Linked DNA regions of Mus musculus. The protein of the gene in region 5 binds, or shares a complex with, the protein of the main gene of each other region. Links are inferred from orthologs where the notes say so. Each region holds a gene or a part of one and is shown on either strand. Other genes may lie near its edges.

What was found.
Region 1: Strn4 (region 5) and Stk26 share a complex: the UniProt entries of both Homo sapiens proteins name them as parts of the core of STRIPAK complex. The link is inferred for Mus musculus from reciprocal best matches to the Homo sapiens genes STRN4 and STK26.
Region 2: Strn4 (region 5) and Stk24 share a complex: the UniProt entries of both Homo sapiens proteins name them as parts of the core of STRIPAK complex. The link is inferred for Mus musculus from reciprocal best matches to the Homo sapiens genes STRN4 and STK24.
Region 3: Strn4 (region 5) and Ppp2ca share a complex: the UniProt entries of both Homo sapiens proteins name them as parts of the core of STRIPAK complex. The link is inferred for Mus musculus from reciprocal best matches to the Homo sapiens genes STRN4 and PPP2CA.
Region 4: Strn4 (region 5) and Strip1 share a complex: the UniProt entries of both Homo sapiens proteins name them as parts of the core of STRIPAK complex. The link is inferred for Mus musculus from reciprocal best matches to the Homo sapiens genes STRN4 and STRIP1.
Region 6: Strn4 (region 5) and Strip2 share a complex: the UniProt entries of both Homo sapiens proteins name them as parts of the core of STRIPAK complex. The link is inferred for Mus musculus from reciprocal best matches to the Homo sapiens genes STRN4 and STRIP2.
Region 7: Strn4 (region 5) and Stk25 share a complex: the UniProt entries of both Homo sapiens proteins name them as parts of the core of STRIPAK complex. The link is inferred for Mus musculus from reciprocal best matches to the Homo sapiens genes STRN4 and STK25.

The regions. Positions count from the first base shown.
Region 1 is NC_000086.7:50,840,058-50,844,170, forward strand, and holds the start of Stk26 (serine/threonine-protein kinase 26), read left to right. Parts: upstream 1-1,313; 5' UTR 1,314-1,489; intron 1,490-1,621; 5' UTR 1,622-1,736; coding exon 1,737-1,778; intron 1,779-4,113. UniProt on the Homo sapiens protein: Serine/threonine-protein kinase that acts as a mediator of cell growth. Modulates apoptosis. In association with STK24 negatively regulates Golgi reorientation in polarized cell migration upon RHO activation.
Region 2 is NC_000080.6:121,299,231-121,302,730, forward strand, and holds part of Stk24 (serine/threonine-protein kinase 24), read right to left. Parts: intron 3,114-3,500; coding exon 2,956-3,113; intron 1-2,955. UniProt on the Homo sapiens protein: Serine/threonine-protein kinase that acts on both serine and threonine residues and promotes apoptosis in response to stress stimuli and caspase activation.
Region 3 is NC_000077.6:52,119,324-52,122,823, reverse strand, and holds the end of Ppp2ca (serine/threonine-protein phosphatase 2A catalytic subunit alpha isoform), read right to left. Parts: intron 1,892-3,500; coding exon 1,773-1,891; intron 923-1,772; coding exon 850-922; 3' UTR 75-849; downstream 1-74. UniProt on the Homo sapiens protein: Catalytic subunit of protein phosphatase 2A (PP2A), a serine/threonine phosphatase involved in the regulation of a wide variety of enzymes, signal transduction pathways, and cellular events.
Region 4 is NC_000069.6:107,612,032-107,614,710, reverse strand, and holds the end of Strip1 (striatin-interacting protein 1), read left to right. Parts: coding exon 1-116; intron 117-1,244; coding exon 1,245-1,492; 3' UTR 1,493-2,179; downstream 2,180-2,679. UniProt on the Homo sapiens protein: Plays a role in the regulation of cell morphology and cytoskeletal organization. Required in the cortical actin filament dynamics and cell shape. Part of the striatin-interacting phosphatase and kinase (STRIPAK) complexes.
Region 5 is NC_000073.6:16,832,889-16,836,388, forward strand, and holds part of Strn4 (striatin-4), read left to right. Parts: intron 1-37; coding exon 38-213; intron 214-289; coding exon 290-337; intron 338-986; coding exon 987-1,108; intron 1,109-3,500. UniProt on the Homo sapiens protein: Calmodulin-binding scaffolding protein which is the center of the striatin-interacting phosphatase and kinase (STRIPAK) complexes.
Region 6 is NC_000072.6:29,937,513-29,941,012, reverse strand, and holds part of Strip2 (striatin-interacting proteins 2), read right to left. Parts: intron 3,433-3,500; coding exon 3,358-3,432; intron 2,552-3,357; coding exon 2,454-2,551; intron 1,977-2,453; coding exon 1,850-1,976; intron 1-1,849. UniProt on the Homo sapiens protein: Plays a role in the regulation of cell morphology and cytoskeletal organization. Required in the control of cell shape. Calmodulin-binding scaffolding protein which is the center of the striatin-interacting phosphatase and kinase (STRIPAK) complexes.
Region 7 is NC_000067.6:93,625,728-93,629,227, forward strand, and holds part of Stk25 (serine/threonine-protein kinase 25), read right to left. Parts: coding exon 3,307-3,500; intron 1,984-3,306; coding exon 1,927-1,983; intron 1,407-1,926; coding exon 1,298-1,406; intron 482-1,297; coding exon 324-481; intron 240-323; coding exon 54-239; intron 1-53. UniProt on the Homo sapiens protein: Oxidant stress-activated serine/threonine kinase that may play a role in the response to environmental stress.

The DNA.
Region 1 (4,113 bases), on a different chromosome or scaffold from region 5:
ATCAGGGCCTACCATTGGGTAGAATAGAGAGAACGCCAAGGCTTGGAGCACTAAGAGTAAGGTAAAATCAATACCATATTTAATATACTTCTACCATATTAATAGAAGGTAGTATGTGGCAGGGGGGCCCAGATTGGACTTCTCAGATGTATTGCTTTTTAATTGCAATATTTGAGTCAAATATTTACTTGGCTGAGCCTTTTGATCTATTTGCTCAGTGGGGAGAAGGCAGTGTGACTCAAGTGAGCGCTTGTCACAATAACTCTTTACAATATACAGAGGGTAAATTTCGGGATCTCTGGGGCAATGAAAACGAAATCTACTACTACTACTAATGTTGATAATAACCAGATACTGTTCTTGGAGAAAAAAATTATTTAAAAAAGAATAGCATTTGTTGAGTGTGCATTGGTTGCACGGGCATCTGGCAAACTTCAAGGTGAGTTCTCATTTTACACATTTACTTGGATCTTATTTTGTCCTGTAACCTTTAGTAGCCCGGGTGTTCACATAGGTGCTTCCCTGAGACTCCTGTGACTGCTATTATTATCACTGTCATTATTGTGTTATTGGGTCCTCCAGAAAGGGTCTGCCTCACTCCTGGAGTTGAACTTAAATTAGAAGAAGGCAGAGAGTTGCAGAAGTCACTGTGCTGCATGCTAAATTCAAATATCTATACTCGGAAAGATGTAATCTCATGCTCCTTGCCTCTGTTATCGTTGTTAAGTTTTCTGCCAATACATGATCCGTTTTCCAATTTGCCTCTCTTTTACACGCGCAGAAATTGTGAGCAATTTCAGCCAGGCCGTTCCTCAACTAATAGCCTAAGGTAAGGACAGACTCAGGTTAAAGTGACTTGAGGCATATCTAAGGGCAAGGAAGCTGAAAATTGCAAGAGGGAAGGAACTTAGGCGTGAAGGAGCAGGTGTCTGGCTCGGTGGCCCCACCCTTGGCCAGGTGGGGGAGCCAAGCAAAACTTTTGCAACTCCAGACCTCTGGGAGGCTACAAGCACCCCAGCCTCGCAAGCCTGTCTGCAACGTGGCCGCATTCATCCGGGTTGCCCTCATCTCCCCTACCCCACTCCCGCAAACTCTTCTGTTCTTTCTCCAGGCTCGGTTATGTTCCAAGTTTTTCGATCCCGATCCCGCCTTTCTGCTGCTCTCCGCAACCCCTGAGAGCCCCGAGCGTCTCCAACTCTGGCTATGTTAGCCAACCCCCTTTGCAGCCTGAAGCCTCAGCTCCCCTGACACCGCCCGGCAGCGGGGTGGAGGCAGGGCCAACCGGGGAACCGCCCCCAGCCGCCTCCCAGCCTAAGCGTTCGGGCGGGTTGCTGGGGTGCCTCCACCTCCTCTTCCTAAAGCGGCGAGGCGCAGCAAAGCGGCATCACTGGAGCCCAGGTCCCAGGCACCGCCACAGGTCAAGCCCTGCATTCAGGAAAGAGAGCAACACTGCAGTTAGCCAAAAGCCAGGCAGGCGAGCGGCAGAGAGGTAGGTAAACTGAGTCCGGGAGAGCAGCGGCGCGAACCGCTCACCTCCCCGCAGGGGGGGGGGGGGCGGAATGGGGGGAGTGGAGGCTGCAAGCCACCAGCCCACTAACTCCACTTCTCTGCGTCCTTCCAGGCCTCGATCGAGAAGCCTGGTAGAGCTGCAGAGATACCTCCGTAGGAGGAGCCAGTCTCTGCCGGAGGCGCCACCGCCACCACCGCAGAAGCAGCGCGAAGTAGCAGTCGCCACCATGGCCCACTCACCGGTGGCTGTTCAAGTGCCTGGGATGCAGGTGAGGAAGCCCAGGCCTCCCGTGCCGCCCACGTGACTGCTCCGAAGCCCCGCTTTGGGCACCAGGCACCAGGGACCAGGGCAGCCACGGGGCAAACCTGAAGGCAGGGCCGGATCTCTCACCAGGTGACCCCGAAGTAAAGCTCGAGGTGTTTCCTGGCGTCCGGGCTAGAAGGTGTTTTGCACTGGAGAGATTGAGGCGACTGGGGAGAGACTCAGTTGGTGTTGGTGTGTGTGTGTGTGGGGGGGGGGGGAGTACACGTATAAAAATAGGCCAGAACCTTAGGCACCTGTACTTGTTGGCTTGTTAATCGTGGCACAGTTGAGGATTCAGCGTGGGGGAGTCCCAGAACTTAACCTCGATGAGATAGAGGCGTCCTGGAATGTGTGGGCTAAAACACCCAAGAGGTGCCCCCACACGGTACACACACAGAGGTTGGGGCGGAGCGAGACCAGGAGTGGTGGAGGCATTGAATTTGGTTCTTCCTGTGTGCAAAGACAGAAGAGCAAGATGCCTTCTTTTCCCCTTTGGTGCCACTTAGAAGCAAACTTCTATCACGCTCCCCTACCTAGCTCAGTGGGTAGTGTTCCAAGGACTGCAGGATCCTGTTCTGAGGGCCTAGGTAATGACTCCACATACCTTTCTCCTTGTCTGTCTGCTAAGGTGGTTGGTACACGTACTTAAGCTTTTGTCCAGCGCAAAGGGGGAAAAAAGTGTGGGACCCAACATTTTACTCAAAATCCATACAGTTCTCCTCCCATTATACTATCGTTTCGTTAAAGAAAATTATGTCAACAAATGTTTTACACATCTTGTTGTTTTTTTAACCACTCTTAACTTTTTAAAGCATTTACATTTGGGGTATCCCCCATGGCAACCTAAATAACCCTTTATGAGTTATAAGTCAGAGGCTAAAAACACTGAGACTGGGTTCCTTATGATCTTCTAACTATGCTAAGTCAAACAAACAAATTATTTCAAGTTCTGAAATGTGGAGACCACTGCATAGCTTACGCTTCTACTAGGAGTCCAAACTTTGTGAATTGGAGTCTCTGTCTACTGCCGCATGTGCTGACTGGTCTCATTGTATTTATGATAAAAATAAAAAGGTGCTTTTAAAAATATCCTTTCTCCTCAAAGGGGTCATTTGTACAGGACATACATGTCTCCTGTATTTAAGGGCAGGTCTGGGTTGAGACTCAGGAAGGGGAGGGAAAGAAATGTAAAATAGAAAGAGTGGGGCTTTTTGTGGTATTAATCCATTTCAGTTTTTCCCAGTGCCCCAAACTTTTTTTTCCTCATGCATTCTCCATCTCTGGCTCTCTTTTCCCTAACTGCTCTGCCCCACACGCCATTCATTGAAGTCTGACTTTGCTTGTATCTGGACAAGTAGTAGTTTGCAATAGGAACTGGTTTTGCTCTGCCTGGTTTGGAACGACACGTGAACTTTCCCCCTTCGTGCACAGCTTTCTATTATGTGGAGACATAGAACTTTACATATGGCTACTGCTCAGAGGCTCCATGCTTCTCTCTCCATTGTGAGCAGGCGCCTGCCTGCATGCGGCCACACTGGTGCCTCCCCTTCATCAACTTTGTGTGATTCTGGGCTACTCAGTGTGATCACCAGAAAAGGGTTCCTGGTCTTTATTTCATTTGGCTTGACTTTATTTGATTTATGTGGTTTCTGGTCTTTATTTAATTTGTTCTGACTTTATTGGATAGAGATGGTTTGCTAAGTGCTCACCGTTGAGCATTGTCACATTGCTCCTTGCTTTGTTTAATTATGGGAGCTAGCTATCTCTTGGATTTTTAGATCTTAATTAAGGTGGGTTGAAATGGGAATCACATATTTGAAATGATCAACTTTGCCTTGCATGGTGTGCCTTCCCCAAGTTATTAATTTGTCAGTCCTTAGCTGTACAGGATAGTCATCTCACATTCAGCAAGCAAAGATTATTGATTCTTGCTCCGCCACTTTCCATCTAAGTGAAGTAGCACGTTATCCAATTATTTTCATTTTTATTTCTAGATGTAGTTCTTAAGCACTTGCTGCAACATTTAAAGAAGACAGCTTTTCCATCTTTGAAATTATACAGGGACCTAAAACACATTCACAGCATGCAGCATGACCCTTTAGCCTAGAATAGTTTTGTTGTATTTCCCAAAAACTATAATGTAGAAATATATTCTGGGATCATAATGGTCTCCTATAGTTTTGTTAGAGTTAGAAGCAAGCAACTTTTAGGTTGTTTAAGTAGCAAGAAATCTTGAATTTGCCATGTGTTCTTTAAATTAATGTGCAATATTTCCCCAAATCAGGGTGGAGTGATTGACT
Region 2 (3,500 bases), on a different chromosome or scaffold from region 5:
GCCAACTTTACAACAAGCAGGGCTGTCAGGAGCTCAACACGTGTGAAACACGACAAAACGGGTTGGCAAAGAAGGCATGGGGATGGGGTGGAGAACGGCACCTGCTCTTGTCATTGCACCATGAACTTGTCACAAGTCCAACACTTACGGCACAGGTGGCAGGAGAGGCCGATGAAGGGGACCAGGGGACCAGAACAATCTCCAGCCTTTACCTGGAGTACCCTTGCTTGCTATTCTCCTGAAACCTTGTGAGCACCAGAAATCCCTGCCACATCACCTCAGTCATCACCATGAAGGTGGCTAGAAAAAGGGAGAAAGCCACACAGCAGGAAGAGGAGGACTGAGGCAGGCCTGACTCACGTGCTCCCACTGTAGTCCTCGTAACTACGGCACCTACTCCCATGCTCTGAGGCACAGCCATGTCCCACCATGCATCAATGGGGCCCCTGGCAATGGCTCTCCATCCAGATCTCCAGACTTCACACACCCTGCTCAGCCTTACAGGTTACAAGGCCGGACAGTCATGGTCTCTGCCTGAGGTTAGCTGCGCTCTGACTGCACAGCAATCCTGCAAGGAACTGTCTCTGCTTACTCTGTCCCCGGTACACTGAGTGACAGCCCTGGGCTGCAAAGCAACCTGAGATTCCTCTTTGGAACATCCTGAATACAACCAGGAATAGTGGCAGGCCACTGTAACCCCAGCTCTGAAGGTTGGTTGGCAAGAGGAACTGAAAGTTCAAGACCAGACTGGGCTCTCTAGTGGAGTCCATCTAAACCAAACCATGAAGTATTTGAACCCACACAGGTGAGAAGTGTGTGGCAGTGAACTCTTAGGTGCCTAGCGTTCCCACACCCCTCTAGTTCTATCTTGGCTGAGCTGCCATTCCCCAGGACTTGTGCAGGGACCTGGGCAGTCTTCTGTCTGCCTCTGATGCCCACCTTCAAGCCTGGACACAGAGCTGGCACATCCAGGACACCAAGCCATTTGGCATGTGATCAGAAGCCATGGAAACACCCAATCGTGTTTAAACACCACGTACCCCAACAAATGGAGACTAGGAAGACAGGATGCCTCTCCAAACAGCACAGATACCAAGCCCCAGTACACATACCTGCTTGTTAGGAAATGTGGCACCTGAGGGTTCAGACGAGTCAGGTAAGGGGGGTACAGTCCCTGTCCAAAACAACGAAAGCTGAACTACACCAAGGACCCACTTCAGAGAGGTATCTGGTATGGCAGGGAGATCAGGAAAGCTCTCTGGGAAACAAGAAAGTGAGTGGCCCAGGGTACAACAGAATTGGGTGGCCTGAGCCCCAAGCCGTAAGGGCCATGGCTGACAAGCTAATTTACTACCTGGATCCTGGTCTCTCTCCTACCAAAATCCAGACACGAATACAAACAGCAAATGGTAGACAATACACCCACCTTCCTACCTGACAGAACTCAGGAAAAAGGCCAAGAGAAGACCGGGCTTTAGACAAGAAGTAGCCATGGAGGTGATCCATCTTCCAGAAGATATGGAAACAACAAGAAACAAATGCAGAGAAAGACCTGACTAACCTGAAGTACTCCTGCTGTGTGCTGGATGACAGGGCCAGAACTCCTACAGGATCTACCACACCACCAGTTTCTCTTTAAGTTCACGGAGCCAGCCAGAACGTGGGATACCTATATCCTCACTCACAGAGACATGCCACATGGCATATACCTTACAATAGCACCCAAGGTTCCAAAAGGGAGTTACCCTATGCTTCACACACCATTTAATGACGCCAGGAATCTGCTACACACAGGAGGGTCCAAGAAAGAAAGGAAAGACAAGACAGAGACACAAGTCAGGCCTGCTAACACACAAAGGCTGAGGCAGGAGATCACCAGTGTGTTCAGACTATCCGACTTCAGCTACAGACCCAAAACTAATTTAGGGCTTGTTTTGTTTTAAGGGGCTGGAGAGATAGCTCAGCATTTAAGAGCACACACTGCTCTGGCGAGAATCCGAGTCTGGTTCCCAGCACTCATGTCAGGGAGCTCACAACTGCCTACCTCCATCTCTGGGAATCTGAAGCCTCAGGCTTTCCAGGGCGTCAGCAATCATACTAAATAAATGAATGAAAGAACAAATAAACAAGTAAACGGAAAGAAGCAAAGAAAACCCGTGTTCGGCCTGTGAACGTTTCTGAGTTAAATAGTTTCTGCTTTGAAAGTTTGGTGCTCAGGAAAGTCAATTCTCTCCGATGATCATGTTTATTGTGCATAGGTCTCTGACCTGAGCAGACGGTTGGGTCATTTCTAGTCTATACTACAAGATTACAGAAAACTAAAGGACAAAAGCAAAGAGTGAAAGCATTAGGAACAGAGCCGACAAGGAGCCGCAGCCAGACGGGTGTGTGTGTGTGTGGGGGGGGGGGGGGGGGTAGGGAGAGGGAGAGGGAGACAGACTCCTGTTGATGGGAGCCTCTGAGAATACAGATCCTGAAATAAAACAAAACAAGCAGTTGTAATCACTGAGGAACCACACCTGCCCACTCTGCTGTGGGATTTTCTGAGGACTCCTTTCTCTAGATGTCCTACCTAGAGCAGGCAGAGCTCTGTCCAGGCCCTGCCCCTCATCCACTGTGCCAAAGGGTTCAACAGCCTTCATGTGCAGACATGGCCAGCCCTCTCTACTAACTGTCCAGACCCCCCACAGCCTAAACCATCTGGGGTCTGCATGTCTCAGAAGGCCTAAGCTGTGTTCATCCTCACACCTGCTCCTTCCTGGTCCCCAGCATATCAAACATGAGCTAAGGTAAAGACAGCCACTAAGGCCAGAGGAACAGGGATCCAACGGTGTAGCAGGAGATAGAGAAGGAAGCTGACATTAACCGAGGTCGCAGAATCACCATCACCCACCTCAGGCACAGGCAGAATGTGCATGATCAGAAGGACCAAGCATCTGGGGGCAGCACTCTCACCTTTGAGTCGTAGGCTGACTGCTTGATGACCTCCGGCGCCATCCAGAAGGGGGTACCCACGAAGGTGTTCCTTTTGATCTGGGTATCCGTCAGCTGGCCGGCCACTCCAAAGTCTGCCAGCTTCACCTCTCCATGTTCAGAGAGCAGAACATTGGCCGCTGAAAGACAAGAAAGGCGGGAGGCCTTACGCACTGCACTGCTACTCCCAAGGTCGCCCTGGAGGCTGAAGCTTGCTCTCCTCACAGGGCATGAGGACCCCTAAGAGCAAGCTGCCCTGGGGTTTGAAAACAGCCCAGCCTGACCCCAGATAGGCAAGAGTGGGCAGGAGTACAGTGGGCTCTGCCACTTCACGTGTTTCAAAGAAATGAAAACAAGCGCTGCCCTCACCACCCAGCAGTGGTGGCACACGGCTTTAACTGCAGCACTTGGGAGGCAGAGGCAGGCGGATCTAAGTCTGAGGCCAGCCTGGTCTACAGAATGAGTTCCAGGATGGCCAGAGTTACACAGAGAAACCCTGTCTCCAAACAACAAAAAATATAAACAAA
Region 3 (3,500 bases), on a different chromosome or scaffold from region 5:
GGCCAGCAACAAGACAAACTGCGGTATGTCAGACAAACAGGTCCCCAAGTTCTTCTGAAGAACACCAAGGAGTTGCCAGAGAGGTTACACAGTGGCCTTGATCTTTATTTTTCTTTACCTGGGATTCTACAAATTCTGAAATTGATCAATAGATTTATCTTGTTAATAAACAGCACCAGTCGTGCCCACTGATACAATTCAAACCTGACTTTCTCAGTTCTCAAGTTTATTATGAAAACACTGCGGTGACTTGTGCAGTAACATCATCTTACAGGAGGGAAACAGTTCTGTTCAAAACAACTCACCAGGTTTTCTGACAGTAACAAAGAACAACGCGGGGCTGAGATTTGAGAAGGGGAGAAACTGAGTGCAGACAAATCATACAATTAAATTAATGGTATCCCTGAAAGAAACACAACAAGAGGGGAGGCCTTGGTACTTATTTAAAAATGTTCATTAAGCTCCAATGATTGTTTGCTATCCTCATCTACAGTCATGCTGAGTAAGCTACAGCTAAGTGAAGTCAACTGGACTCACGGGTGTTAATGTTTAATCCTATATCTGCAGTCTCTCAAGAAAGCAAAAGTAACTACAAATAGCGCTATGCCAGAAACTGGATTCTTGACCAACAATGTCGCGTCAGCATGCAATGAACTGGTTCATTCTAAAGTGGTCACGGCTGTTGATGACAAGAGGCTTTGTATTTTATATGGCACATCTTTTGGTCCGTGTGAAAACAAGTTTTTGAATGTTAACTATTTTCTGACACTTTGGAGTTACTGTTGCTCTTCCCATTTCCATTAGGTCAATATACGGTTCATGGCAATACTGTACAAGTTTACATTTTCATTACAGGAAGTAGTCTGGGGTACGACGAGTGACATGTGGCTCGCCTCTACGAGGTGCTGGGTCAAACTGCAAGCTGAAAAACAAGGAAGACTCAGTGTTACTACTCCAGAAGATACCATGTAGTTAACAAAACTAACATCTTCCAAATTTTCAAATTTTCTTCCCCATCCAACTTCAGTACATTTTAAAAGAATAGAACCCAACTTTAATAGACCTAGGTATATTGGGGCACAGCTCTAACATTACCACTTGGGAAACTGAGGCAAGAAAATCACAGTTCTAGACCAGCTTGGGCTACAAACACATGGTTAGTTTTAGCTGTTAACCAGACACAAGAGAACCATTACCTGGGAACAGTTCTAACTGAGGACTAGACTTATATAAATCAGGTTGACCTGTGAGCATGTCTGTGGAAGACCATCTTAATTGATGTAAGAACACCACGCCCACCGTGGCTGTTACCATTCCCTAGGCAGAGAGCCTTCATCTGTTTAAGAATGAAGAAAGCTAATTGAGCATAAGCAACAAGCAAGGGCCCACACACTTCTCTCTGCTTTGTTTTGTTTGAGTCATGGCTTCTTGATATAGCCCCTGAAACTCTGTATATAGACCAAGCTGGCCTCACTCACAGAGTTCCTCCTGCCTCTGGTGGAAGGTAACATTACATCTAGGCTGTAGATGTTATTTGAGGAGCTGCTTCTAGTTCCTGCCTCAGCTTCCCCTCAATGGTGGACTATAAATTAGGACTATAGGTTGAAGACCTAGTAACTCATACAAGTTATTCATACCAAATAAGAGACACTAGTGCTAGTTTCTATTATGTGTAGGTTCATTCCCACAAAAATTTAGTCAAAAGTCAACAACCTATGCTTTGGTTTAAGCAGGGCTGGACAACACAAAGCTAGCTCAGAGTAGATACTTACAAAGAATACTTAAGAGTGTCGTCAAGTTCCATGATTGCAGCTTGGTTACCACAACGATAGCAATAGTTTGGAGCACTGAAAATTGTTACTACGTTCCGGTCATGGCACCAGTTATATCCCTGTAAAAAAGAGGCAGGAAAAAAAAAAAAAACCAAACAAACCTTACTAACCTACATAAATATGAACCCATTAAAACAGAAAAATACATTAAGATAGAAAAACTCCAAAGGGGTTAATTTTCTGTATTTCTCATAACCTATAAAATGTACATTTAACAATGTGTTGCTAAAACAAACAAACAAAATACTTTTGTTTGTTTGTTTTTGGGGGTTTTTTGAGACAGGGTTTCTCTGTGTTGCCAAAAAAATACTTTTTTAGAAAAAGATTTATTTACTTGTTTTATGTAAGTACACTGTTGCAATCTTCAGACACACCAGCAGAGGGCATCAGATCCCATTACAGATGGTTGTGAGCCACCATGTGGTTGCTGGGAATTGAACTCAGGACCTCTGGAAGAGCAGTCAGTGATCTTAACTGCTGAGCCATCTCTCCAGCCCTGTTTTTGTTTTGTCTTAAGCATTGAAAAACAAGCCAGGCATGGTGGTACACATTTTCAATCCCAGGAGGCAGAGGCAGGTGAATCTACATGGAGCCTAATCTGCATGGAGAACAGCCTAATCTACATGGCGAACATATCCCGCAAAAACCAACAAACCAACCAACCAAATCAACTTAAATATTACCCATCACCAAATGTAGATACTGTCTTTCATTGACATGACCTTGTGATGGTTTGTGTATGCTTGGGCCAGGAAGTGGCACTATTATGTGTGGCCCTCTTGGAGTAGGTGTGAACTATAAGATCTCATCCTAGCTTCCTGGAAGCCAGTATTCTGCTAGCAGCCTTCAGATGAAGATGTAGAACTCTGAGCTCCTCCTGCCCCATGCCTGCCTGGATGTTGCCATGTTCCTGCCTTGATGATAACAGACTGAACCTCTGAATCTGTAATCCAGCCTCAATTAAATGTTGTCCTTATAAGAGTTGCCTTGGTCATGATGTCTGTTCATAGCAATAAAGCCCTAAGACAAACCTTAAACTTGATTTTAAAATGAACTATTTTTTGGGTCTCACTGTACAGTCTAGGCTAGTCTGGATTACAAGGCAGTTTAGCTGCCACCTAAATAACTAACCAACCAGCAAACTAGCTAACTAATGAACTAATGAGGCATGCACCACTATACTTGGCTGACCATCAGTACTGACAACAAACTCTTATAGAATAAGAGATTGCCCACTGCCATAGTTTGAATGCTCCATGTTCTCATCTCATTCTCAAAGTATGGCAGTCAATGTTTTAAGGTAAGACCCCTACCAGAGGAAAGGCTTCTTTCAAATCATCTACAAGCCAGTTATCTAAAGGGCATCAACATTTTGATGTTTCTTTCTTTTCCTATAAAGAAACAAACTAGATAATGTGAAATAAACCACTGCGATATATTATACCCTTCCTCATTCGCTCTGCATCTTCATCCTTTCATCATTAATCCCAAGTCCCTCCGAGTCATTAAGTGGATGCCCACTATCAGCCATGGATCTGACTTTCCTCTGACTGTCCATCTACTGAAGAGGGTTTAGCTCCCATGGCAGACTCTAGGAATAAAGGACATCTTGCTGACAGCATCAGTGTCAAACTCCTTTCCTTCAGTTACTACAGTTAATTTGACAGG
Region 4 (2,679 bases), on a different chromosome or scaffold from region 5:
CAAGGTGCAGACCAAGTATTTGGGGCGACAGTGGCGCAAGAGCAACATGAAGACGATGTCTGCCATCTACCAGAAGGTGCGGCACCGGCTGAACGATGACTGGGCGTACGGCAATGGTGAGGCCACATATGACGCCGCAAGAGTGGGAGAGGGTAGGACAAGGGATGACTTGACTCCTTGCCTGTGGTACCTTAGTTTTCTCTGCCCTTAGGCACTGAGCAGGGCCGGGATCTAGTTTTAGTGGCTCTGGGCAAGACTTTGGGAAGCTACTCAGTATCTGTGTTCATCTGTTTCTCTGTCCCTCCACTCTAAATCCTGTCTTTTCCAGAAATTGCCATAAGATTCCATCCCCTCTTTATCCCTACTGCAGCTACCTAAATCTATAGATCCTCACCGGCTCTGCCTCTAGTTTCTCCCCACTGTTGGCCTCAGATTTGGCTCCTGTAATCTTTTCAACACACCCATCCTATGCTGTTGCCCCTGAGTAAGATTCCTGTTAGCTTTCTAGTTCCCATAGGAATGAAGTTAAACATTAAGACAGGAGGGGCAATCATTCACTTGCCTGATCCCAGAGTTTGCAGCTTTCTTTTCAAGCCCGTTGTGTGCTGGTACCCAGCTTCTGTCACACCCAAGACTCCAGGACAGAGTATGAAACCTCAGTACCAGCTGAGGATTGCTCTCAGGAGCTCTGCAGATCCCAGCAGCCACAGATGCCCATGCTCTCCAGTGTGCCCTCTGTGCCTGAGAATAGACTGTACAGGTACAGAGGGAAACTACACTTGGTCCCTGAGCGCTAGCCATGTTGCCTCCTGTTCCTGGGCCTCTGTAGACTGTTGGATATCTACATCCTCCCAGTCTAACTGTTGTTTACCTGGTGTTGCTGTGTTACACTGTCGCAGTCACATCACTCTGTGACTATGCCTGGCATCTGGGCTCAAGGTGGTGCATGACATTTTGTCATGGAGGTGAGAGGAGGAGCAGATGATGGAGTCTCGGAGTTATCTCTGTCATCTAGAACCAAGGGGAGACTGTGCTTTAAAAACGAGTTTTCCAGGACTCTCCTGTCTGTCGACATGTTTTGGGGGAACAAGTCTCTTTCTCAGAGTTAAGGATTTTCTCCTTATATTTGACTATCCTCTCCTGAGGATGGGCTTTGGAGATGATCTTCTGGTTAAAATCACGCTCCTACTCAAGGGGAGCTGCTATAGGGCTGACTCCTAACCGAGTTTTCTGCTTTGCCCCAGATCTTGATGCCCGGCCATGGGACTTCCAGGCAGAGGAGTGTGCTCTCCGTGCCAACATTGAACGCTTCAATGCCCGGCGCTATGACCGGACCCACAGCAACCCTGACTTCTTGCCAGTGGACAATTGCCTGCAGAGCGTATTGGGCCAGCGGGTAGATCTTCCTGAGGACTTCCAGATGAACTATGACCTATGGCTAGAGAGGGAGGTCTTCTCTAAGCCCATTTCCTGGGAAGAGCTGCTGCAGTGAAGAGGGCTGGAAAAGACCATGATCTGTCTGTCTCATACCTGAGGGACTGTCCTCACCATTGCTGCAGTGCTCCTGTTCCCCTCCAGGTGGCAGCACAGCTCCATTGAGTCCTCCACAGCCTGCCCTGGGCCTGTGAGTGAACCCAGGTTAGCCTCTGGTTGATTCCCAGCATCCTACTCAGGAGCTGTCATCTCCAAGCTGGGATCTACTCTCCCTCCACTTGCCCAGCTTCTACCCTCCTCTCTTGGATATGATCGATTGAAACTCATTTCACAGTTAGCCCTAGGCTGGGGAAAGCTGAGCCGGGCCTGGCATCCCTTCTCGACAGCAGCTGTATCGTGAGGTCCCACAGACTCCTGGGCAGCTTTGGCAATGTCAGCTGGTCAGGAAGGAGGGTCCGCTTGAGGGCCAAGAACAGAGTCAGCACCTTGGCTGTGCTCTGGGACTATCTCGTGCCATCCCAGCATCCTGCTGAGTTCTGTCCAGAAGTGATGGACACACAGCCTCTGCACCCTGGTTTTGGATGTGGTCAAAGGTGGAGTGAGGCTTCCTGAAGCCAGAGGTGCCGGTTTCCTCTCGGTTGCCATGACCTGTAAATATACAAAACTCTGTGTGATCTCTGGTGTCATGGTGGGGTTTTTATTGTGTTTGTGTATTCTGTTTACATTAAAAGAAAGCAAAACTGTCCGTGTTGCCTTGTGTGTAGATGCAGGCTCTGGGGACTGGGGATGCAGCACAGGCACTAGAGTGCCTACCTGGTAGGAAAGAAGCCTTGGGTAGTGGTACACACACGTGTACTCTCAGCACTTGAGAGGTGGAAGCAGGCGAATCAGAAGTTCTAGGTCAGTCTTGACTACATAGTTCAAGTTCAGCCTAGGCTATGTGAGATTCTCTCTGAGAAATATGGCCTGAAAATGATCAGTTCTCTCAAGAATCCCTTTCCCCAGCATGACAGGCTACCCGGCTAAGCTCTGGCCTGCCTGCCTTCCTGCCTTTTCTACCTGTTGTAGAGGGAAGGAGGGGTTAGTACTTTGGTCGTCGGCCCACATCAGTCTGGGCACATTGCTTTAGGGTTCTGGGTTTGCTGAGGATCAGGGTCCTGACTGCTAGGCTTGCTGTAGTTTCAGTAGAGACGTCAAGTTTCTCGGGATGACGCGCCGCAGCTGTCCTCAGCCAAGCCAGTTAGT
Region 5 (3,500 bases):
AATCCAAGAGGACACTGAGGCAGCTCCCCATCCCCAGCTGTCTGACAGCAAAGACGCTTTCAAGAAGACATGGAACCCCAAGTTTACCCTCCGCTCACACTACGATGGCATCCGCTCCCTGGCCTTCCACCACAGCCAGTCAGCACTGCTTACTGCCTCTGAGGATGGCACACTCAAACTGTGGAACCTGCAGAAGGCAGTTACGGCCAAGAAGTAAGGGTGCCACCCTGGAGGGTGCGGGGCCTTAGGACCTGGGGTCCTAGTGATGGGATTCCTCTTTTTCCCACAGAAATGCTGCACTGGATGTGGAGCCGATTCATGCTTTCCGAGCTCACAGGTAGGGAGATGGCTGAGCCTGTTGTAAGCCCTGCGACCCAGCAGCATAGATGGGCTGCTGCTTCTTGCTGCCCTGGAGACCTGGAGCAGTGGAGGCTTGGGCATACCCCTTACTCAGGGGCCATGTTGGTTCCCATTGTGGTTTCACTGAGGCCCCTAGAGCAAAGATGCCAAATTCCTCATGGCATCCTTAAGATATACCTAGGAAAGGACACTGACTGATGGGAGGGCTAGGTGGCTAAAGGTGCCTTCTACTAAGCTTGACAACATAAGTTTGATCCCCAGGACTCAGGTGCTAGGAGGAGAGAACCAACTCCAGAAGTTGTCTTCTGACCTCCACATGCGCATTGTGATATATGACAATAAATACATTTAAATGATATTTAAAAATAGCTAGAAGAGCCAGGCATGGTGGCATGTACTTTGGATCCCAATACTTGGGAGGCAGAGGCAGGCAGATCTCTGTGAGTTCAAGGCCAGCCTAGTCTACAGAGTGAGTTCCAGGACAGCCAGGGCTACACAGAGAAACCCTGTCTTGAAAAAACAAAAACAAAACAAAACTAAAAGCTAGGAGAAATCCTCAAGCTCCCGTGAGCAAGGAAGGCTTGAGCCTTAGCTGCCTTGCATCGCCTCTCCCTTGCACCCTGCAGGGGCCCGGTGCTGGCAGTCACCATGGGCAGCAACAGCGAGTACTGTTACAGTGGTGGGGCTGATGCCAGGATCCACAGCTGGAAGATTCCTGACCTCAACATGGACCCATATGATGGCTATGGTGAGGACAGACCCTGCCACTCCCTCCTCCTGTCACAGCTCTGGGAAGTAGCACTGTAAGCTTCCTGGTCTGACTTAAGGTTAAGAGAGTGGGCGGAGGGAGATGAGGCGTAATGGTGAGGGGAGAGTTGGGCTGCATTTGAGGGACAGTGTGAGCTGGCTTTTGGGGAAGCAGAGGCTAGCCTGGGTCAGGGCCAGAATGGGCTTGGTCAACTTGGTGGACTATGTTGGGGATCAGCTAAGGTCTTATTGTGGGTCAGGGGTTTGTTAGAAACAGAGGAGGTGAGCTGAGAAGCATTGGGGGGACCATAAATGGCAGGGAGTTGAGGCCTTGTCCTTTAGCCCTTTAAGAGTTAAGTGGAGGAGCTGGAGATGGGGATCAGTAAGTAGGTGGAGTGAAGCTCTGGGTCCCATCCCAGTACCACAGGAGCTGGGTGGATCAGAATGCTAAGTTCATTGTTGGTTACATAGGGAGTTTGAGGCCATGAAATCATATCTCAAAAACAAACAAACCAGACAAACAAAAACAAAAAACAAGACATAAATCTTTAATCGCACTCAGGAGGCAGAAGCAAACAATGCTCTGAGTTCAAGGCTAGCCTTGTCTACATACTAAGTTCTAGGCCAGTTAGAGCTACATAGTGTCTCAAAAAAAAAAAAATTGCTGTTTCATCTTACAATGGAGCAGTAATGGCAGGAGGGATAACCGCAATCACAAGTTCAAGACCAGCTTGATTATGTATTGGGTTTCAGGCCTGCTGTGCCACATAACAATCAAGCTACTGCCCGGACATAGTGAATCCCTATTGGGAGGAAAAGTCTTCTCCACTCCAAGAAAAAGTTAAAGAGGAAGTGATAATCTTAGTGCTCAGGAGTTTGAGGCAGGGGGATTTTAATTTAAGGTCCAGGTCAGCCTGCTCGACATAGAAAAGTCTTGTCTCAAAATAACACACTACATAGGACCAGCAAGATGGCTTAGCAGGTAAAGGCACCCCTGATGGTCAGAGTCCAGTCCCTAGAACCCACATTAGAAGGAGGGAACCAACACCAACATGAGTTGTCATCTTGCCACCACTTGGGTTCTCACATACTTGCGTGCGTGAACACACACACACACACACACACACACACGTGCTGGGCAGCAGCCAGCAGGCGCAATGGTGCACACCTTTAATCCCAACACTTGAAAGGTAGAGGCAGAAGGATCTCTGAGTTTGAGGCCAACCTGGTCTACAGAGTACCAGAGTGGTCAGGACTACACAGAGCAACCTTGTCTCTGTGCAGACCAGACACGGGGCAGGGCAGGCGGGAGGGATGGACAGATGAGCAGGTAAGTGGGCAGGTAGATGGAGGAATAAGAGTTAAATAGGAGGAGGCTGGAGAGATGGCTCAGGGAGTAAGAGCACTGACTGCTCTCGAAGGTCCTGAGTTCAAATCCCACATGGTGGCTCACAACCATCCGTAATGGGATCTGATGCCCTCTTCTGGAGTGTCTGAAGACAGCTACAGTGTACTTACATATAATAAATAAATAAATATTTTTTATTGTTATTAAAAAAAGAGTTAATTAGTGGGTAACACTGTCTTGGGAACACCCTCACCCATGTTCTTGGATGTTTCTCACCTTCCTGAGGACCTCATTTTATATTAACTCCCGTGTTTTTGTTTATTCTATTTTGAAACAAGGTCTTAAAACTAGTTTTTAAGTCTGTTTTTAAGAAGCCTTTTACCTGGCAATGGTAGCACACACTTTTAATTGAGGCCAGCAGCCTGGTCTACAAAGTATGTTCTAGGACAGAGAAACCTGGTCTTGAAAAACCAAACAAACAGACAAAAGTCTTTTACTAGGAGAAATGAACACCACGTCCTATCCCTCACCAAGAAGCTATTTACAATTGACTTCTGTGAGGAAGGGAAATGAGCTGCCTCTGAGCCAGAGTCACTAGGTCTATCAGTGACACTCCAGGGCAGGCTTCATGCCTAGGGGTGGCTGACAACTCAGAACACACTCCATGTTGTTGGGGGAAATTTTATGTTTCTTTCATTTTTGGCTCTTTCTTTCTTTCTTTCTTCCTTTCTTTCTTTCTTCCTTCCTTCCTTCCTTCCTTCCTTCCTTCCTTCCTTCCTTTATTTTTCCTTTTCTTTTTCTTTTTTTAAAATCTTCTGCTTTAGTTTTAGTCTTTTAGAGAGAAGGAACATGAAGTTGCTTGGGCAGTAAGGAGGTGGGAAAATCTGGGGAGAGCTGGGGAGAGAAAGAGTGTGCTCACAATATAGTTTAAGAAAAAATTCTTTTAAGTATTTTTTTAAAACTTTTTAAAGTTCTTTTTCTTTTTAAGAGAGGGTAAGTACATTTTTAAAAAATGTCTTATAGGCTGCATGTAGTAATGTACACC
Region 6 (3,500 bases), on a different chromosome or scaffold from region 5:
GGGTCCATGTCCAGGGAGACCTACTGGGGTAAGTGGCAATAAGAACAAAGGTATAGAGTTAGTCACCCTGGATTTTGTTTATGATGTACGGAGGAACACCAGAAACAAAGGATGCCTCCAAATCTGAGCCTAAGCATGCTGGGACAGTACAGAAACAAGGTAGAAAAGGCAGAGAACTATGGTGTTTTAAAACTGTATCTCTGTGTCATCTGCAAGAAGTAGCCATGGCAGAAGGGTAAGCTGCTTTCTGTTCCCGAGTATGTGGTTAGAGGTGGGAGTCAGCTTATGTCATAACTGCTTCTCTCTCCTAATTGGCATTTCCTCCCTGGAAGCCACCCAAAAGTATTTTCCAAGTTCTAGATAAAGGAGCTAGTACATACGTACTACTGAAAGTGGGAAGTTTTAAAACTCTGAGCTCTGTTCAGGCTTTGTCTGGACTTCCCCACGCTGACACACACTGTGGCCCGGCCATTCAGGACATCTCTCAGTCTGGCTATAGATCTATCTACTGCCCTTCAAGAGAAACACTGGGAAACACATCCTAGTGGATGCTGCTCAGCAAACACAGGATAAAGCCACAGTCTCAGCCCGTGCCGGCCTTCCCTGAACACGACTCTTTCTTTTATCAGGCTTTATTTTGAGTGCTTAGTTGGAAAATGGTGTAAGGCCTCAGGGCAGAAATGAGAAGGGTTCCATATTCCCAGGCTCTCTAAAGGAGAAGCTTCCATTCACTTGTCTGCATCTTGTCCTTGTACCTTGGTAATGCCTACAGCCCAAGGCAAACAATGCCTTTGTGGGAAAGCAAAGCAAAGTCTTGACTTTAACCCTAATCTCCCCACTTGAGATAAACCAGAGTGCAGTCTCAGAAGGCAGAGGTAGGAGGATCTCTGTGACTTTGAGGCCATCCTAGTCTACATAATGAGTTCCAGGACAGCTACACAGTGAGACTCTGTCTCAAAACCAAACCAAACCAGCAATAACAACTAAAGAAAAAAATTACCCAAAAATGCCACCAGTCCCCACCCCCCCCCCAAAAAAAACCAGGGATAAAATAAGGATTCCTAGAGGTGAGAAGCTCACAAAAGCTCTGTTGGATGTCAAGCACAATATAGGTATTTCATAATCATGTGTTATCAGATATACGATCCCTGATGATCCCTGTGGCTTCACATATCAGCCGATCATCTCTATCACCCCACTCAGAGGCAGAACTCCAGCAACATTTAATTAGTTTCCAAAAGCTCTCTGCTGTTTCACCTCTGAGCTTTCACATATTGGACTTTCTGCTTGAGCTGGGTTTTCTCTTTCCTGATAAGTCTCATTTCCTGGCTAACATCTGTTTCTCTGAGACTTAGGTTAAAAGTCAACTCTTCTCTACCTCAGGTTGGATTAGGTATTTCAACAGTGCCTATCTGTATCACACCACTCTACAAGTGGGCGTTTATGGATCTGTTACAAGACTGTGTGGCTTGTAAGAGTCTGATCTGTGTCTCATTTAGAATTAGATCTGATTCAGAATAGTGCTTCACTTACAGACAAGTATGGCCAATGTGCCCAGGGACCTTTCTTGAATGGCTGAACTGATTCTAACTAGCTAGGAGTATTCTTAAGAATCCCTAGCCAGACCTGGAGCTAACTTACAAAGAATATAGACTTTTGTATCTTTCTAGGATGGCTCCCCACATCCCACTCCATATCCCACCATACACTCATGCCACAAGTAGCTGGACTCTCTCATTCAGGACAAACAAAGGCCAAGTAAAATACACAGCAGTACAAGACTTCCTGTGTGGCCCCTATGGCATGAGGAATACTTGGAGCTTGAAATGTAGCGTCCCTAACTGCTCACCTGGTAGATATGGTTGAGTTTGAAGTGTTTGAGAAGTAGAAGGAGCAGGGCAGAGATACTCTTTACAATGATTTCCTTGTGTCTGTTCACGTCAATGCCTAGCTTCATGCTCTGGAGAACAGTTACACTACAAGGGGAAGATGAAGCATTAGTACAAAGGTAGGGATGGATGGAGGCCTAGGGATGAAAGACCCAAGTAGTTGGGCTACACACACACACACACACACACACACACACACACACACACACACACACACACGTCTATATCTATAGTCAGAATATATATATAGTCAGAATTTAGGAAACCTGAACTTCTCTGCTAGGGAAATCTCTGAAGTTCCCATTTAGGAATCTATCCAGGAGAAAGCTTTCATGATCTTTTTGTTCATGTGTCCAGTCTCTGGCAAACTTATCCACTGGTGCTGTCTACTCATGTATCTGGCGGCTACTCATATATCAGCACTGAGGTTTTCTGTTGGACCCTAGTTCTGAGTTCCATAGAGCTCAGTAGGTAGAAGGCCATGCAGAAAAGGAAAGACTTCTCTTCAGACAACTCCTGTTACCACAGTGCGGAGGGACAGAGGCCTGAAGACGAGACACTCACGGCATCTCTTCAGGCAGGACATCTGCCAGGATATTGATAGAGTCTGTCTTAGCCTTGGAGGTGGGAGCTGCAGCCAGCAGAATCTTAAGCAGTGCAATCTAGGAGAGAGAAAAAGAGGAAAGCCATCCTTGTCTATCCCACTTTGCGAAATAGTGGTTCTTCCAAACTTCTCTAGCCCGAATGAAAAGTATTTCTTTATATTTTAATTTTTATTTTTTTATGTTTATTTTTGTATGTATATGAGTACATTGTAGCTGTCTTCAGACACACCAGAAGAGGGCATCTGATCACTTTACAGATGGTTGTGAGCCACCATGTGGTTGCTGGCAACTGAACTCAGGACCTCTGGAAGAACAATCTGTTCCTCATTGCTGAGCCATCTCTCCAGCCCATGAAAAGTATTTCAAAGCCTTTATCTAAGATCTTCCTTTAGTGACTAAGCTTTGCCAGAATATAGTAATGCAAACAGGTATTTATCTTGAGGCCTGTCTGTGAGGCCAAGGGAGAAGGCCAAAGCAAACTTCTAAGCTGTTTTGTTCAGGGTTGCTCCCAAAGTGAACACAGAAAGAACAAACTGGGAGAGGCAAAGCAAGAACTACGTGGGAGATATAAGCCCAACATTCCCCCTTCTTGTTCTTCCTCTGACCCCATCAACATCTTCACCATTCCTATCCAGAGGCTACCAAAGACACGGCAGACAATGGCAGAACTCATGATAGTGGCAATTAGCTAGTAGAAATGGCTCTGACACATCATCTATAGGTAGATCTTACTTTATTATGCACCCCAGGCTCCAGGAGAAAGGCTAGGGAGAATGGCACCTGCAGAGCAGCCACAAGGAAAGTTCAGAATTCCAAGTTCCTCTTGGTAGGAAAGGGTAGCTCTGGACTAGCCAGCTCCTTACCATGTACTGGGGGAGGCTGTACAGCATGCCCTGGTAGAGGATTTCACTCGGTGTTTCTGGTACCACCTCTTCTCCCTAGGGAAGAAAACACAGTTGACCAGGCTACTGTTCAGGTTACTAAAGGTGACATCTTGGTTGCTGAG
Region 7 (3,500 bases), on a different chromosome or scaffold from region 5:
CTTCCCCAAACCCCTCAGCTGCCTGGGGTGGCCCAAGTGGATATAGGCCTTACGAATCGTGGGTCCTTATTGAGGCAGGCCTCTACAAACTCCTTGAAGGGTTTGCTGTGGTGGCCCTCCAATGTGGGTGGGTTGTTCTTGGGAATCAGGAACAGGACTCGCATAGGGTGGAGATCAGAGTTTGGCGGCTCCCCCTTGGCCAGCTCAATGGCTGTGATGCCCAGGGACCAGATGTCAGCCTAGAGAGTTATCACACAGGACAGTTGCTACGTGAAACATTTTGAGTGGTGGCAGTATACTCTCACCTCCCATCCAGAACTCACCTTGAAGTCATAGGCCGACTGCTTGATAACCTCAGGTGCCATCCAGAAGGGTGTACCCACAAATGTGTTCCTCTTGATTTGTGTGTCTGTGAGCTGCCCAGCCACACCGAAGTCTGCCAGCTTCACATCACCCTGCTCCGAGAGCAGCACGTTGGCAGCTGCTCAATACAGGATAGGTGGGCATCATCCTTGGCTCCACAGCCCCCCAAAATAACCCTGCATGCAACTCCCTGACTAGTGATGGGATGGTATCCTCTGGCCCCTAGGGACAGCAGCAGATATGTCTTGGGAACTTAGTTTTCCTGGACATTGGCCACTGCTGGCAAGGGCAGGCAATCTGGGGGACCTACAGGAACATTCCTACCTTTGTTCCAGGGCCTGGCATGTTTGTGTTTTCTGACAAGCACCAACAATAGTGACACCTCACATATAATCATAGTGACCCTAACTGAATTGTACAGCTGGAATGGCTCGTCAGGGCATCTATCACTCTGCCTATAGGATTCCACCCTGTGACATAAGGCTCAGCTATCCTCACTAAGTCATTCATGGTGGGCTGGCCCAACTTTGTGAGTCCTCATCAGGACTGGACCACACAGAAGTGTTGCACAAATCCACATCTGAATCCACACACTGCTCCTGCTTTGTACTAGTACACAACTGGTTTCCTTCACATATATGAAATCAAAGATTAGGAGATGTGAGATTAAGGTTTTTTCTAGGCTGGCAAAGTAGCTCAGTTGCAGAATGTTTGCTTAGAATGCATAATCCCCTAGGCTCTACCCTCAGTGTGGCCATTAAAAATGGGGATAAAAAGTAAAATGGACAACCCCCCCCCCCCAATTCCCCAGTTTCCAGGTGGCAGAAGCGTTCCCCACATCCCATGCCCTCAGGCACCACAATCTACTAGGCTCCACATGCCCATCTCTTTCTAGGTCATGGGCAGAACTGCATCCAAGCCCACCCCGCAGGACCTTTGATATCTCGGTGGATCTTGCGCTCTGAGTGCAGATAATCCAGGCCTTTCAGGATCTCCCGCAAGATGGTGGCAATATAGGTCTCTTCCAGGGGACCAGGTTTCAGCTGCAGGAGCACAGACAGGAAGAACTTCAATTGCAGCTACCACACCCATACCTCCACAGCACCTGAACAGCACCACCCACCAACTTCTGAGTCCTGCAAAAGAAGCCTGGGGGCCTTTATGTTCCTTAGTTCCTATAGTTTCAGATGTCAAGGATAATGGGGGAAGTAAGGAGAAATGGGGGTGACAGCTGTTTTCAGAAAACTTAAGAGTTGCTTTAATCTTTTCTGTGACTATAAAGATGGGAATAGGTTAACCAAGGACCTGACACTCTTATTTGTCTGGGGGCTCTAACTGTGCCTATTCCCCTAGCCCAGTAGAGGCCCAAGACTTCTTTTAGCATCAACTAGAGCAAGATGAACAGTGATTTGTTTTGAAACTAACAATTCCTGTTAACATACAGAACTGTGATAGGTAGCCTGAGAAAGGCCACAAGCCTAAAAGTGTGCAGGGCAGTGGTTCCTGGGCCACTGAAAGACAAGCCTCAAGAGCAAGCCGCTCACTGCTCGAGTCTGAACTTACCAAGTCCAGTGCAGAGCCACCACCCAGGTACTCCATGATAATCCACAGCTTGGTGCTCTGGGAGCAGAGAAACCTGTCAGTGCCTGGGCAGGAAATGCAGCAGGAATATCCAAGCGGGGACTCCACAAGCCACCCCCTCTAACTCCTCCAAAAGTAGTCAGCTAGGGGCTTAGCCCATACAGCAACTATACCAGGCAAGTTCCTGCCAAGTAAGATAGGGTTCTAGCCGGGCAAGGTAGTGAATGCTTATATCCCAACACTTGGAAGGATCAGAAGTTCAAGGCCAAATTGGGGGACATGAGACTTGTGTTCAACTCCCAACACCCATATCAGGTAGCTCACAAAGGCCTGTAGCCCCCATACCAGAAGAACCCAATACCCTTTCTGGCCTCCGCAGACACACGCACAGACTAATTGTAGACATACCCCCACCCAGCACAGACAGGTAAAAATAATAACAAAAAAATTAGTATTAACAAATTAAAAGGAGGACCAAGCCAGGCATGGTGGAAGAGGCAGGTGGGTATCTGTGAGTTTAAGGCCAGCCTGGTCCATATAGTAAATGGACAAACAGAATTACACAGTGAGCTGGGCAGTGGTGGCACACACCTTTAATCCCAGCACTTGGGAGGCAGAGGCAGAGGCAGGTGGATTTCTGAGGCCAGCCTGGTCTACAGATTGAGTTCCAGGACAGCAAGGGCTACACAGAGAAACCCTGTCTAGAAAAACAAAAACAAACAAACAAACAAAAACAGAATTACACAGTGAGACCCTGTCTCAAAAAACAGTAACAAACCACCAAAAACAAAACAAAAAAGGAATGCAAGAAGCGGTGGCATACACCTTATTCCTATACTTGGGAGATAGAGGCAGGCATATCTCTTGTGAGTTCAAGGCCACCCTGGTCTACACAGACTCTGTCCAGGGGGAGGAATGGAGAAAAGGCCTCTCTGACCACCCAGCTACCATACCTCTGCTACAGGCACCTGGTGGACAGGCCAATTGCTCAAAGCAGTAGATGAGTCTTCTCTGTACTCTCTACACTCTGCTCAAGTGCCCTCCAGGCAGTCCCTAAAAGTACTGACTGCCTTCAGGGGCCCCTTAGACTGTGCCTAACAGTACTGACAGACATTTTAGAGCCTACTGAGGACTGGCACTTCTCAAGAGAATAGGCTGTTTTTGTGAAGCTGAGATATTTGGAAGGGTGGGCCTCTCTGCCCTTCCAGAGGGATTCCCATGTGCCCACAGCTGTCACCTTCTCTTCTCTCTCCTATCCTTGGACACATATTAATCCCTCTGGAAACAAAAGAGAAAGCCTGGCACAGAACCTTCAGAATGCTCCATCCCCAACCACTACAGATCCCTCCTTCTTGTAGGCACCTTCAGGTAGGAGCCGAAGTAGCGGGTGATATAAGGACTGTCACATTGGCTGAGCACAGTGATCTCCTGTTGGATGTCCTCAATTTCATCCTCGGCCTCTTCCAAGTCAATGATCTTGATGGCCACCACTTCCTTGGTGTGGTTGTCGATCCCCTTGTACACCTCCCCAAATGAGCCTTTGCCAATGCGGTCAA